Arabidopsis thaliana: one gene and its partners. The protein of the gene in region 2 interacts with the protein of the main gene of each other region in a pairwise test. Each region holds a gene or a part of one and is shown on either strand. Other genes may lie near its edges.

Region 1 (4,107 bases), 7.6 Mb from region 2:
AAATGAGAAGCTTTGGATTGTGTGGAACCATAATTTAAGTAAGGACATAACCAAAAATTAGATACAAAATGAGATACCAGTCCCAAAACATTGAACTTGCCAAAACCGAAACATAATGTCATGTAACAAAACCAGTGTTCTATTTGCCGTCGAAACAATATTAGTTAATTTCTCGTTTATACTTTAAATGTAAATTACCGCTTTCATCTGTATATCTGTTTTTGTCGTGGTTCTTCTATCCGATTCCAAATGAAAACACACAATTTCGGAACTTAATTTTATTCTTCAAAATTTTGGCATAAAAGTTAGAAATTGGTATTTTAAATAATTAATTTATGGAGTTGAAGACTTGTGAAGGTAGAAACCAAAAATGTATTTGCTTCCATCAGAGCCACGCAACAATGGAAAAAGTGACACTTGTACATACACATGCACCCGATTTTTAGATACATTAATAGATAGACTGAAAATTATAAAAGTAATTAAATATCATTTGTTTCCGCTGATAAATGGCGTACAAAATAAAAAAACGTATTTTTTTTATACGTGTTTTGTATTTAATCTCGTGCATATCCTTTCTGTGTTGTAAAGTCTTCTTAGATTCGTTGTATACAAGATCTTCTATAAGTTCGTGTATAATTTATTCAGACAAATTATGCGATTGTATTATTGTATCAAGAAATTAATTAAACTAGGTCTTTTATAAATAGGTTGTACGAGTTCTTTTTATTATAGTCATTAATATTTCTTAATTTTAAGTTAAAATTAATTAAAGTGTTCTACAGTTTAGTTGTGGTTAAATTATTTATATGGAAGATCTTTACATAATTAAAGTGTTCTACAGTTTAAGTTTGAAGAACGTCTTTCTTTACATATAAACTTTTCGAAGTTGTGAAACTATGTTCTTAGGAAAACAAGCTAAGAATATTATATTTGAATTTCGTTATATTTGTTATTTCGTCGCTTTTATGATCTTGAAACGTGATTGAACCTATAGTCCGAGGGGATGAACCAAATTTAATGTTTCTAAATCTACCAGTTAATTGTTTTCTTACCAATTTACTCATTTAATTTAGATGATATATTGATCGATTTTCTGTCATACTGATACTTATTCGGTTATGTACTACGTTATTTTACATAGCAGTTACGTATCCAAGAGAGTAAAAATTAATGATTTTAAGTTTTTGTTAAAATATTTTCTTCTAAGAGATAAAATTAAGTAAAAGAAGAAAAATATGAACACTTAACTTAAAATCCAAAAATACAAATTAATATATGAAAAAATAAGTAAAACTGCTTTAAATAATAATCCTAAGTAAGGAAAAATAATACTTCAAATGCTGATCGCTTTAACAAACAAGAATACTTATCAAACAGTAACATAATCATATATATGGGGTGGTTACTTATTTTTGGTATCAAAGTCACAAAGTACTTGCCTACTTGGTAACAAACTAGAAGACAAATTCATACATTATAATTAATTTGTTATAAAGTTAGTTGTTTTATCCTTATACTTTCAAGTATAATTCTAACAAAAAAACAAATTAGAAAGTAAATGGATGTTGATAAGGGAGAGAGAAAGAGAGGATGATGCTGATGAAAACATAGGCACATGTGTTAGGTCTGAAGCAAGGAGAGAAAGGCAGCTCCTGCTTCTTTTGCATGAAACCTCTCTAAAACTCTTCTCTTATCTCGCCACGAACCCTCTCCCCATACCCTTCACACGACTCCTTCCACTTTTTAATCTCTTGTCTTCTTATTACATCTCATCAAAATTCTATTTAATGATAATAATCCAAAGCTAACAATATTTAAATATACGTTTTAACTTATTCTCATGTCTATATCTATACTCAATCCACATATATATAAACCACAATATCCCATCTTTCATCTTACACAAATCCCTCAAAACCAAAACACATCACAAACAAAAAAAACAAGTTAGATATTATATCATCATGGATGTCGTTTGTACGGAACATCAAATGAGGAAGCCAACGGTGGAGATTCCTCCGAGAAAGCTTCTTTTATCTTCCAAGAGTTTTCCTTCTGATTCTTCTTCCCCTCGCTCGCCGCGTAAACATAACTGGAACAAAAGCAACAAGATTACATCTGAACATGAAGAAGACAACGAAGACAACAACAGAGAGAATAAAGAGTACTGTTATGATTCTGACTCTGATGATCCTTACGCAAGTGATCATTTCCGGATGTTCGAATTCAAGATCCGTCGTTGCACTCGTAGCCGAAGCCACGATTGGACTGATTGTCCTTTTGCTCATCCCGGTGAGAAAGCTCGCCGTCGTGACCCTCGTCGCTTTCAATACTCCGGTGAGGTTTGTCCCGAGTTTCGTCGTGGTGGTGATTGTAGCCGTGGAGATGATTGTGAGTTTGCTCATGGAGTCTTCGAGTGTTGGCTCCATCCTATTCGTTACCGTACTGAAGCTTGTAAAGACGGTAAACACTGTAAAAGGAAAGTCTGTTTCTTTGCTCATTCGCCACGTCAGCTTAGGGTTCTTCCTCCGGAGAACGTTTCCGGTGTCTCAGCGTCGCCTTCTCCTGCGGCGAAGAATCCATGTTGCTTGTTTTGTAGCAGCTCTCCCACGAGCACTCTTTTGGGTAATTTGTCTCATCTTTCTCGATCTCCGTCTCTGTCTCCACCTATGTCTCCGGCTAATAAAGCCGCTGCTTTTTCACGGTTGAGGAACCGCGCCGCTTCTGCCGTTTCCGCCGCTGCAGCCGCTGGTTCAATGAACTATAAAGACGTTTTGAGCGAGCTTGTGAATTCTTTGGATTCCATGAGCTTAGCGGAAGCGCTGCAGGCGAGTTCCTCGTCGCCCGTTACAACTCCGGTTTCCGCTGCGGCTGCCGCGTTTGCGTCGTCCTGCGGTCTGAGCAATCAGCGTCTCCATCTCCAGCAACAACAACCAAGTAGCCCTTTGCAATTTGCTCTTTCGCCTTCCACTCCAAGTTACCTAACTAACTCACCTCAGGCGAACTTCTTCAGTGATGATTTCACTCCTCGCCGGAGACAGATGAACGATTTCACGGCGATGACGGCCGTTAGGGAGAATACTAACATTGAGGATGGTTCTTGTGGTGACCCTGATCTAGGATGGGTCAATGATCTCTTGACTTGAGGGATTGACGGTGGAGATTCGCCGGGAGGAGATCTGACTTGAGAATGTAAATTTCGGTGGAAGAATTTTAATCACATTCATGAATCATGGGAGAATAATCGGTTCGTAACGGTTTGGTCAATGCATGGAGAGATTGTTTGTTCAAATTTATTTTGAAGATTTTTTTTTTTAGCTAATTCAGAAGTGTCTTGTGTATTGTCGTTTATTTTTTAGAATTTTCTTTTTCTGATGGGATTTTTACCAAATAATATGTTGAACTTGTAATATCTTGTGGACTCGGATTGTGCAATGTTTCACCAATTCTATAGATATTTTTCCCTTTTCATGTATACTTTGTTAAATCTTTAATAGATCAATTTGAACATTACAACCTCACAATTGAATATTGATATGTATATTGATCTTCTTTTTTGTTTTCGTCTTCGTCTGTTTTCATCATTGTGATATGTATATTGATTAACTGATGGTTTTTGTTTTATAGTTAATTTGTATTAAGCTTTTAAACGTATAAAATATCACTGGACGATTGATCACATTGCGTTTTCGGTTTACGCTATTAAGTTTTATAAATGATATTAAGATATGCGTTTCTTGAAAATAAATGTTTCATCTCATCGTATACCCTGAAACGTGTTATGTTTATGATTTAATTTTATGAATGTACCTATGCACAATTCTCGAATTATTCATCCCCCTCACCCTGAAATGTGTTATGTTTTGGTTATGCTGGTGCCTGGTAGACGAGAATACAGTTGTGTTAGTACCGTCTCCCTAAAGTTATATGTCACATCCTTTTTTGTATATAAAAAGGTGCGACAAGTTCTCCAATTGTTCTTCTTTGGACACCACACGAAAGCTAGTAGCTTTCATATGAGGCATGTGTATGTCATCGACAGATGTACATATCGAGACGTGTTGACTACATAATATTATAATATATGAGCACATACATGCATGT
Region 2 (3,445 bases):
AAGAGCTTAAAAAGAAAAACAAGCAACAAAGCTTTAGATCATTGATTAAGTTCATTTTCTATTTAGTGATCTCTGAGCTTTTGGAAGATGAATTCAGTGGAATCTGAAGCTAGGAGAGTGACTACACTCATCAGTAATCAGCGAGACCAACCCAAGATCAAAGTTTTCGTTTTTCTTACATTCCTAGCAATTTTCAAACCAATTTAGACATAAGATCTCTATTACCAACCAAAACCTCGTCTACATTTCTACAAATCCACACGAAGTAAAAAACAATCTTAAACCAAAGACAGAGAAGGACAATGGCTTACAGGTACTACTGCCAAAGAGGAAAAGCCGGCATTTTTCAACGAGCTAATGAGATATGTCGCAGCTCTAGTACTAGGGAAAGAATCAAAGCCTAGCTTCCTCGATTCATTAGCAGACCAGCTTCCACAAGAAGAAGAAGTGAAAGGAAGAGTGTTGGAGATGGAGAAACGATGCCTCTGAAGCAACCTTGTACTGCCACGAATCAATTGCATTTCTCCGCAAAAGGAATCGATCTATGCGATCACAAATATCCAAAAGCTTTCAGAGATTTTGAGAAAAACAAATCCCTTGTCATTGCTCCTTCAGGTTTCTTTATTTTTGTTTTGGTAATTTGCATATATACCCCTGATATTTTTTGCTTTTATCAAATACATCCTTTCTTTTTTCTTTGACATCTTCTTGCTAGAAAGAGTTTAGTGTGATGCTTATTGTATAGAGAACAGAACATCATTACATACATGCACTTACAATAAAACTCTTGTCTATCCATGTAGAAATCATAATCTAAAATAATTCAAAACAAAATCGATATGACCTCATATGAAAACCTCAATGTTAACAAAAAAAAAACATTGAGGTGAAAAGTGATTGTATTGTTTCATATATTATAGAGATTTGAATTCAGGTCGATTCTTCTTCTGGCATGTACATATATGATTTTTGGTTTGGGGTCATATTTGTTAGAAACCGAGAGGCGAGAGTGTAAGCACTCAAAAGTCAAAGCAGAGTTCAACGTATAGACGAAAACAGAGAGAAACAGAGCAAACCAAATAAAGATCAAGTAAATCTAATGACAACAAATATGTTTCCTAAATTATATAAATTACGAATTTATATAAGAATTTACCAAGGATTAAAATTAATACAAATATCACATCATCATCGTCTTTGATATATAGAAATCTTTATAAATTTATGTTTCAATTTTCTCTTACAAATTATAGTTTTACAACTACAACAAAAATTGAAGTCAAGTATGAATATATGATAATCCCTAGTATAAATATAGACTCGTGAACAAAAACTCTAAAAAAAGTCTCTGAAGTTTTACTTTGCTTCTAGAAATCTTGAACTCCCTTACTCTGCGAAGAAGACGAAGACGAAGCTGCTTCTTGTTCATTGTCGTCTTTGGTCTGCTTATATATCGGTAACATACTTGCTTCCTCATTCGATTGAACATAGTTTCGCTCACCGGAAGATTAGGGTTACGATCATCTTCTCCTTCCATCATCAGATACGATTAGGTTAAAAGGCGCTCGAGCAATTTTCTAGTTTCTTGCTCATCCTTCTTGGTTTTGTTTTCTTTTCTTTCTACTCGAGATTGATTCTGGATCTTCTTAAGGATCCTGTTGCGATGAATTTGACATGATTCTTCTAATTCGGCTATTGTGTTGTTTGGTGGATTAAGTTTCTTGAGGAATAAGATTTGTATTTATGCACTCTATTTTCTGTTTCTTCAATGAGTTGAGACCTCTTCAATCTTTATGGATTAGGCCAATTTTAGACCATGGTTGGAGGAAGCTTATCACCGGCGTTTACTATTGATGAAGCGACGTCATACATCAATGCTGTGAAGGAAGCATTTGGGGCTGATCAACCTGCAAAATATCGAGAGTTTCTCGACATCATGCTGGATTTAAGAGCTAATAGGTATGTTTGGTTTGCTCTTAAACAGTCTACACATGTGAGAGATTGATTCTCATGTTATTTTTCTCTTTGTAGAGTCGATTTAGCTACCGTCGTTCCAAGGATGCGGGAACTCTTGAAAGATCACGTGAATCTGCTACTTCGTTTCAATGCCTTCCTTCCAGCTGAGGCTAAGGAAACATTTCATGATGTACGTTCATACATCTATTCTTTGAAGGAATCATTTCGTGATGAACCTGCAAAATATGCTCAGTTTCTCGAGATCTTGAATGATTATAGCGCCCGTAGGTATGAATTATTTTCTCCATGTTATATTTGATTTTCTCCTAATTTCTGCTTACAAAACAACACACACATGTGAACTGAACTGATTCTGATGTTACTAAGTCTCTCTTTGTAGAGTCGATGCTCCTAGTGCCGTTGCAAGGATGACGGAACTCATGAAAGACCACCGGAATCTGGTTCTTGGTTTCAGTGTCTTGCTCTCAACTGGAGATACAAAAACCACCCCTCTCGAAGCTGAGCCTGATAATAACAAAAGAATACGTGTAGCAAATTTTATCAGCAAGCTTAAGGTATATACAGGATGCTAAATGGGTAAACTAATCTATTTTTGGTGTTTCCTCTACGCTAACTTGTGATTTAAGATAACAAATTCATCGATGTACAGGCAAGGTTCCAGGGGAATGATGGCCATGTATATGAGTCATTTCTCGAGATATTGACAATGTACCAACAAGGAAACAAATCCGTAAATGACTTGTACCAGGAGGTAGGGTTCTTGGTGGGACATTTTGTGTGTTGCACTTCTTAGCTCTTTGGTTTGATTAGCTTTGTTATCTTTGCTTGCAGGTTGTTGCACTTCTTCAGGGTCATGAAGATTTAGTCATGGAGTTTTCAAACGTTTTCAAGAGAACCACTGGTCCATCAGGGTCAAAATCTGCTAGAGATAGATGAGTACATTATAGAAGACTGTCTCTGCTTTATTTTAGGATGCTTGGAATATAATGTTTGGGGTACAAGAGACAAAAAGAGTACTTCTTTCTAACGAGAAGTGAGTGTATAGTTATCATTTGTAGACATTTGAGATTAGTTTGATTCTTACTCATATGCTTCTATATTTGAGATCAATGAGATGCATAATGGTTTGGGTAAATATAAGAGACTAAAACGAGAGTGTATGATTTCGTTTGTTAAATCTTACCAAGAAGACATGAGATTTTGGGGTCATCTTAGTCTAATGTAGAAACAAAAAGAGAGAGGAACAGAGCCTTTACTCAAACCTATATATATGGCCAAAAATTACAGAGCAAACAAAAATCAAGTAAATCTAATCACAACAAATCAAATAATTAGAAGTCAATCGGATAATTCAAGTAAATTTTATCATGATTTCGTTCAAATATGATTTTAATCATTCACACTTTTTATTGAAAATATTTTAAACATCTAATTCAAACTTCTTTTGTAAATTATCCACGAAAAATTA
Region 3 (4,435 bases), on a different chromosome or scaffold from region 2:
CTGGTTTACATTCAGCCCCTTGCAAATCTCAAGAAGATGTCTTTGTCAAGTTCATGGTATTTAAAGAAACTTCCGGATCTGTCAAATGCTACAAATCTCGAAGAATTGGATCTGAGAGCTTGCCAGAATTTAGTAGAGCTTCCTTCCTCCTTTTCTTATCTGCATAAGCTAAAGTATTTGAATATGATGGGATGCAGAAGGCTAAAAGAAGTTCCACCTCATATCAACTTGAAGTCTCTTGAATTGGTCAACATGTATGGATGCTCAAGATTAAAAAGCTTTCCAGATATTTCTACAAACATCAGTTCACTCGACATATCATACACTGATGTGGAAGAACTACCTGAATCAATGACGATGTGGTCTCGCCTACGTACTCTCGAAATATACAAAAGTAGAAACCTCAAGATAGTAACACATGTGCCCCTAAACCTAACATATCTAGACCTCAGCGAGACTAGAATTGAGAAGATTCCAGATGACATCAAAAATGTTCATGGGCTGCAAATTTTATTTCTAGGTGGCTGCAGAAAACTCGCATCATTGCCAGAGCTTCCTGGTTCGCTCTTGTACTTATCAGCAAACGAGTGTGAATCACTTGAGAGCGTATCTTGCCCTTTTAATACTTCATACATGGAACTCAGCTTCACCAACTGCTTCAAACTAAACCAAGAAGCACGCAGAGGAATTATTCAACAATCATTTTCTCATGGGTGGGCATCCTTACCTGGAAGAGAGTTGCCCACTGACTTATACCACCGATCTACCGGACATTCCATCACCGTTCGTCTCGAGGGCAAGACTCCTTTTTCTGCATTCTTTGGATTTAAGGTTTTCCTCGTGATTTCCCCTAACCATGATGCTGAAGAAACTAGCAATTCTCCCTTATTTTGTCCTCGCATTGGCAAAATCGGTTGCTCCGATGACGAAACACCTATTTATATTATCCCCAAACCTCGAGCAGAACATCTAGTTATGTTTCACTCTGACTTGCATAACAAGGAAAAATGTCATGAAGTAGGCAACGAGATACTGTTTGAATTCAGCAACATATCCGACACCTATGAGATTATTGAGTGTGGTGTCAGATTCTATACAGATGAACAGGTGAAATCAGTGAAAGGAGAAATGAATATGAAATAGACCAAGTTTGTGAAGATGAAAACGATTGGAGCTATGAGTTTGGACCCGTGGAAGCATTGGAATGCTCTAAAAATAATGGACATAATGATAGCCTAATCTGTACTTCGAACGAAGACAAGATCGAAGCCAACAAATACACAGATTGTTGGAGTTGGCTCATCATCTGTTTTGATGTCTCCCATATTGTGAGAAGCATCGGAAGTTTAGTTTGGGGAGGAAGATGAGAGAAGCAAGAAGGAGAATATCAAAGTGGAGAAGTCGAACGAATTTGCAAGTGAGGAAAGAATATCTGTTTATACTTTACAATGACTTGTTTGGCTGCTTCACTGAGTTGGATATGATGAGTAGTAGCATCATACTGTTTGAATTCGGATGCAGCAAATATTACTGAAATGCAGTGTACGGATCGTGAAAACTGACAAAATTGATAGTAGCAACAACAGTGAATTAATTTGGGCCTGAAACTATCCGTTTTAAATGGGCTTTTGAGCCTTTCACATTATCTATGTAATTTTCGATTTTATCTTCCTTTTCTTTTCACCTTCTCGACGAACACACCTACACAAAAATCAATCACAGTCTCTGTCTCACTCGCCGGAGTTTCGGTCACTGCGCCATCTCCGGGGTCGAGTTCGTCGTACTTCATCGAACTATGAACTCTCATGATATCGATGATCAGTTAGAAGCAGATGTATACAGTAACTTGCCTTCTCGAAATGATTCTTCAACAGGGAGGAGAAATCGAAACTCGTGTAGATCGAAACACTCAGAGACTGAGCAACGAAGAAGAAGCAAAATCAATGAAAGGTAAATAATAAGTGTTCAAAGTTTGAATTTTTATCAGATTTTCTAAAAAGGGTAACAAGAAAGTTTCGTAATTTGTGATTGTTGGTTGGTGGATACAGATTTCAGAGTTTAATGGATATTATACCTCAGAATCAGAATGATCAGAAACGAGATAAAGCTTCTTTCTTGTTGGAGGTTAGTAAAATTTATAGTTTTGAACAGAACATGTGTTTCAGAGAATCAGAATGATGTTTGCTTTTATATGTTGTCTCAGGTTATAGAGTATATTCACTTTCTTCAAGAAAAAGTTCACATGTATGAAGATTCTCACCAAATGTGGTATCAATCCCCAACCAAATTGATTCCTTGGGTATATTCCTTCTCCTATCTTTGGTTGGTTTTCTGTTATATTGAATCGTTTTTGTTACATTTTTTTAGAGAAACATGGTTATTGTGTTAAGTGTTTCATCTTTCTTGGTATTTTTGACAACTGTTTCATGTAACTTTGATGCAGAGAAATAGTCATGGGTCTGTTGCGGAGGAAAATGACCATCCTCAAATCGTTAAAAGCTTTTCAAGTAATGATAAAGTTGCTGCTTCTTCGGGTTTTCTCTTGGATACGTACAATTCAGTAAATCCTGATATTGACTCAGCAGTTAGCACCAAGATTCCTGAACACAGTCCTGTTTCAGCAGTTTCATCGTATCTACGTACCGAGCCTTCGCTGCAGTTTGTTCAGCATGACTTTTGGCAACCAAAAACAAGTTGTGGAACAATTAACTGTTTTACAAATGAATTGTTAACATCTGACGAAAAAACATCAGCCAGCTTGTCCACTGTCTGCTCACAAAGGTAAGACATATGTAGAGCAAAATAAAGCTTTTTTTGTTCAGTAATTAATTCATTTTTTTGGTAGAAAGTTTGGGTTGGTATATAGTTTCTCACGGATGTACACTCATTTCCTTCCTGTCTGGCTCTCCTTAAACAGTGGCTTACCTTTTTTGGATACTAAGAGAGAATGATATAATACAAGGTTCCAATGATGCCTCAGCTATTTGCGGAGACTTCTTGTTTGCCTTGGCTATGAAGTTCTGTAGGATAGAGTATGAGATAAATGCTGTAAACTTGGTAATTGTTAGAGGAAAAGATTTTGCATAACCATAATCCAAAGTTTCTCTTTTGAATAGTGCTTCTCTCTCCTAAATAGGTAGTCATTCAAACTGAAGATCCTATCTGCTTCTGTATTTGGAACAGACTCAGGGTTCTAAAAACGGATAACTGGAGGAAATAAAGATGGAGAGATTTGATTGAAAACTCTTGTTTGGTTTGATTGTGAACAGGGTACTTAACACTCTAACTGAAGCACTTAAGTCATCGGGTGTTAACATGTCAGAGACCATGATATCTGTGCAGTTAAGCCTTCGGAAAAGAGAAGATCGCGAGTATTCTGTTGCTGCGTTTGCTTCTGAGGTATGCCTGTAACATTTTTACAGTGGAAAAGAAAAAGAAGTCTACTACTCTGCAAGTAATTCTTATAAAAACATTTCTATGTATTTTAATTTGTATTTTGATGCTATGTATCTTTTTCATTAGGATAATGGTAATAGCATCGCTGATGAAGAAGGGGACTCTCCTACTGAAACTAGAAGCTTCTGCAATGATATTGATCATTCCCAGAAGAGAATAAGACGATAAGATCTGGTTTTCTATTTTCTATGTTATGACAACTGTTTGATAATTTTGTTACTTTCGGTGAGTCAGGATCAGTAGGTGTAGATACTACTTTTATCGTGCTGCAACTATTTTAAATGATATAGTAAAAACTAAGTAGAATGATGTAACAAGTTTCGCAAATCTATAACAAGAGTTTGCTCCATTTAATGGTACTTTAAGTATATGGTCTCTTAGATATATCACTTCTTGCCCTTCTATTTCTCACACTATTAACCGGGAAATTATTTCGTGCTTGTTGACATGTCTGTATCAAGTAATGCGTTTGATTTGCAGAAAGGAGTCCTTGTTTTCTTGTGTCTCAAGCTTGATTTGAGCTAGAGTATCTAGATCTTTAGATTCAAGAACAGATGCAATATTCTGTAGAAGTTGAAAACTCATCTTTATTCTTTAACCTTATGTAAATATGACTGTCTATACAACAGATAGTTCATCTCTCGACTAAATGTTTGGTATATATATGTATATATTATGATACTCTTGTTCGATTAAGGAGGCTGTTTGTTTGCTGAAGGAGATGAAGCAGGAGGAGGGCCAGGTTTGTTTGGTGGTGGTAGGAATGGGAATGGAGGAAATGGAAAGATCGACGGAGGTGGAGGAGGAGGAGGAGGAGGTGGTGGTGGTGGATTTAGGCCTGGAAAGATCGGTGGCAGTGGAGGAAAGAGAGACCATGGTGGAGGAGGAGTGGGAAGAGGAGGACGAGGCTGAAATGGGTTTGGAGGGAATATCGATGGAGGAGGAGTGGGAGGAGGCTGAGGAGGATGAGGCTGAAATG

What was found.
Region 1: the proteins of AT1G24230 (region 2) and SOM interact in a two-hybrid assay, tested with the Arabidopsis thaliana proteins (one large-scale study listed by BioGRID).
Region 3: the proteins of AT1G24230 (region 2) and BIM3 interact in a two-hybrid assay, tested with the Arabidopsis thaliana proteins (one large-scale study listed by BioGRID).

Annotation. Positions count from the first base shown.
Region 1 is NC_003070.9:952,622-956,728, forward strand, and holds SOM (Zinc finger C-x8-C-x5-C-x3-H type family protein), read left to right. Parts: upstream 1-1,668; 5' UTR 1,669-1,967; coding exon 1,968-3,149; 3' UTR 3,150-3,523; downstream 3,524-4,107. UniProt on the Arabidopsis thaliana protein: Probable transcription repressor that functions as a negative regulator of phytochrome-mediated promotion of seed germination. Inhibits seed germination by regulating the expression of gibberellic acid (GA) and abscisic acid (ABA) metabolic genes.
Region 2 is NC_003070.9:8,583,507-8,586,951, reverse strand, and holds AT1G24230 (Paired amphipathic helix (PAH2) superfamily protein), read left to right. Parts: upstream 1-1,816; coding exon 1,817-1,959; intron 1,960-2,031; coding exon 2,032-2,244; intron 2,245-2,356; coding exon 2,357-2,531; intron 2,532-2,626; coding exon 2,627-2,728; intron 2,729-2,808; coding exon 2,809-2,913; downstream 2,914-3,445. Other genes in the region: AT1G24240 (Ribosomal protein L19 family protein), read right to left, coding at 312-521.
Region 3 is NC_003076.8:15,557,288-15,561,722, forward strand, and holds BIM3 (BES1-interacting Myc-like protein 3), read left to right. Parts: upstream 1-1,613; 5' UTR 1,614-1,795; coding exon 1,796-1,950; intron 1,951-2,048; coding exon 2,049-2,124; intron 2,125-2,203; coding exon 2,204-2,299; intron 2,300-2,443; coding exon 2,444-2,781; intron 2,782-3,269; coding exon 3,270-3,399; intron 3,400-3,522; coding exon 3,523-3,624; 3' UTR 3,625-3,839; downstream 3,840-4,435. Other genes in the region: AT5G38850 (Disease resistance protein (TIR-NBS-LRR class)), read left to right, coding at 16-1,143.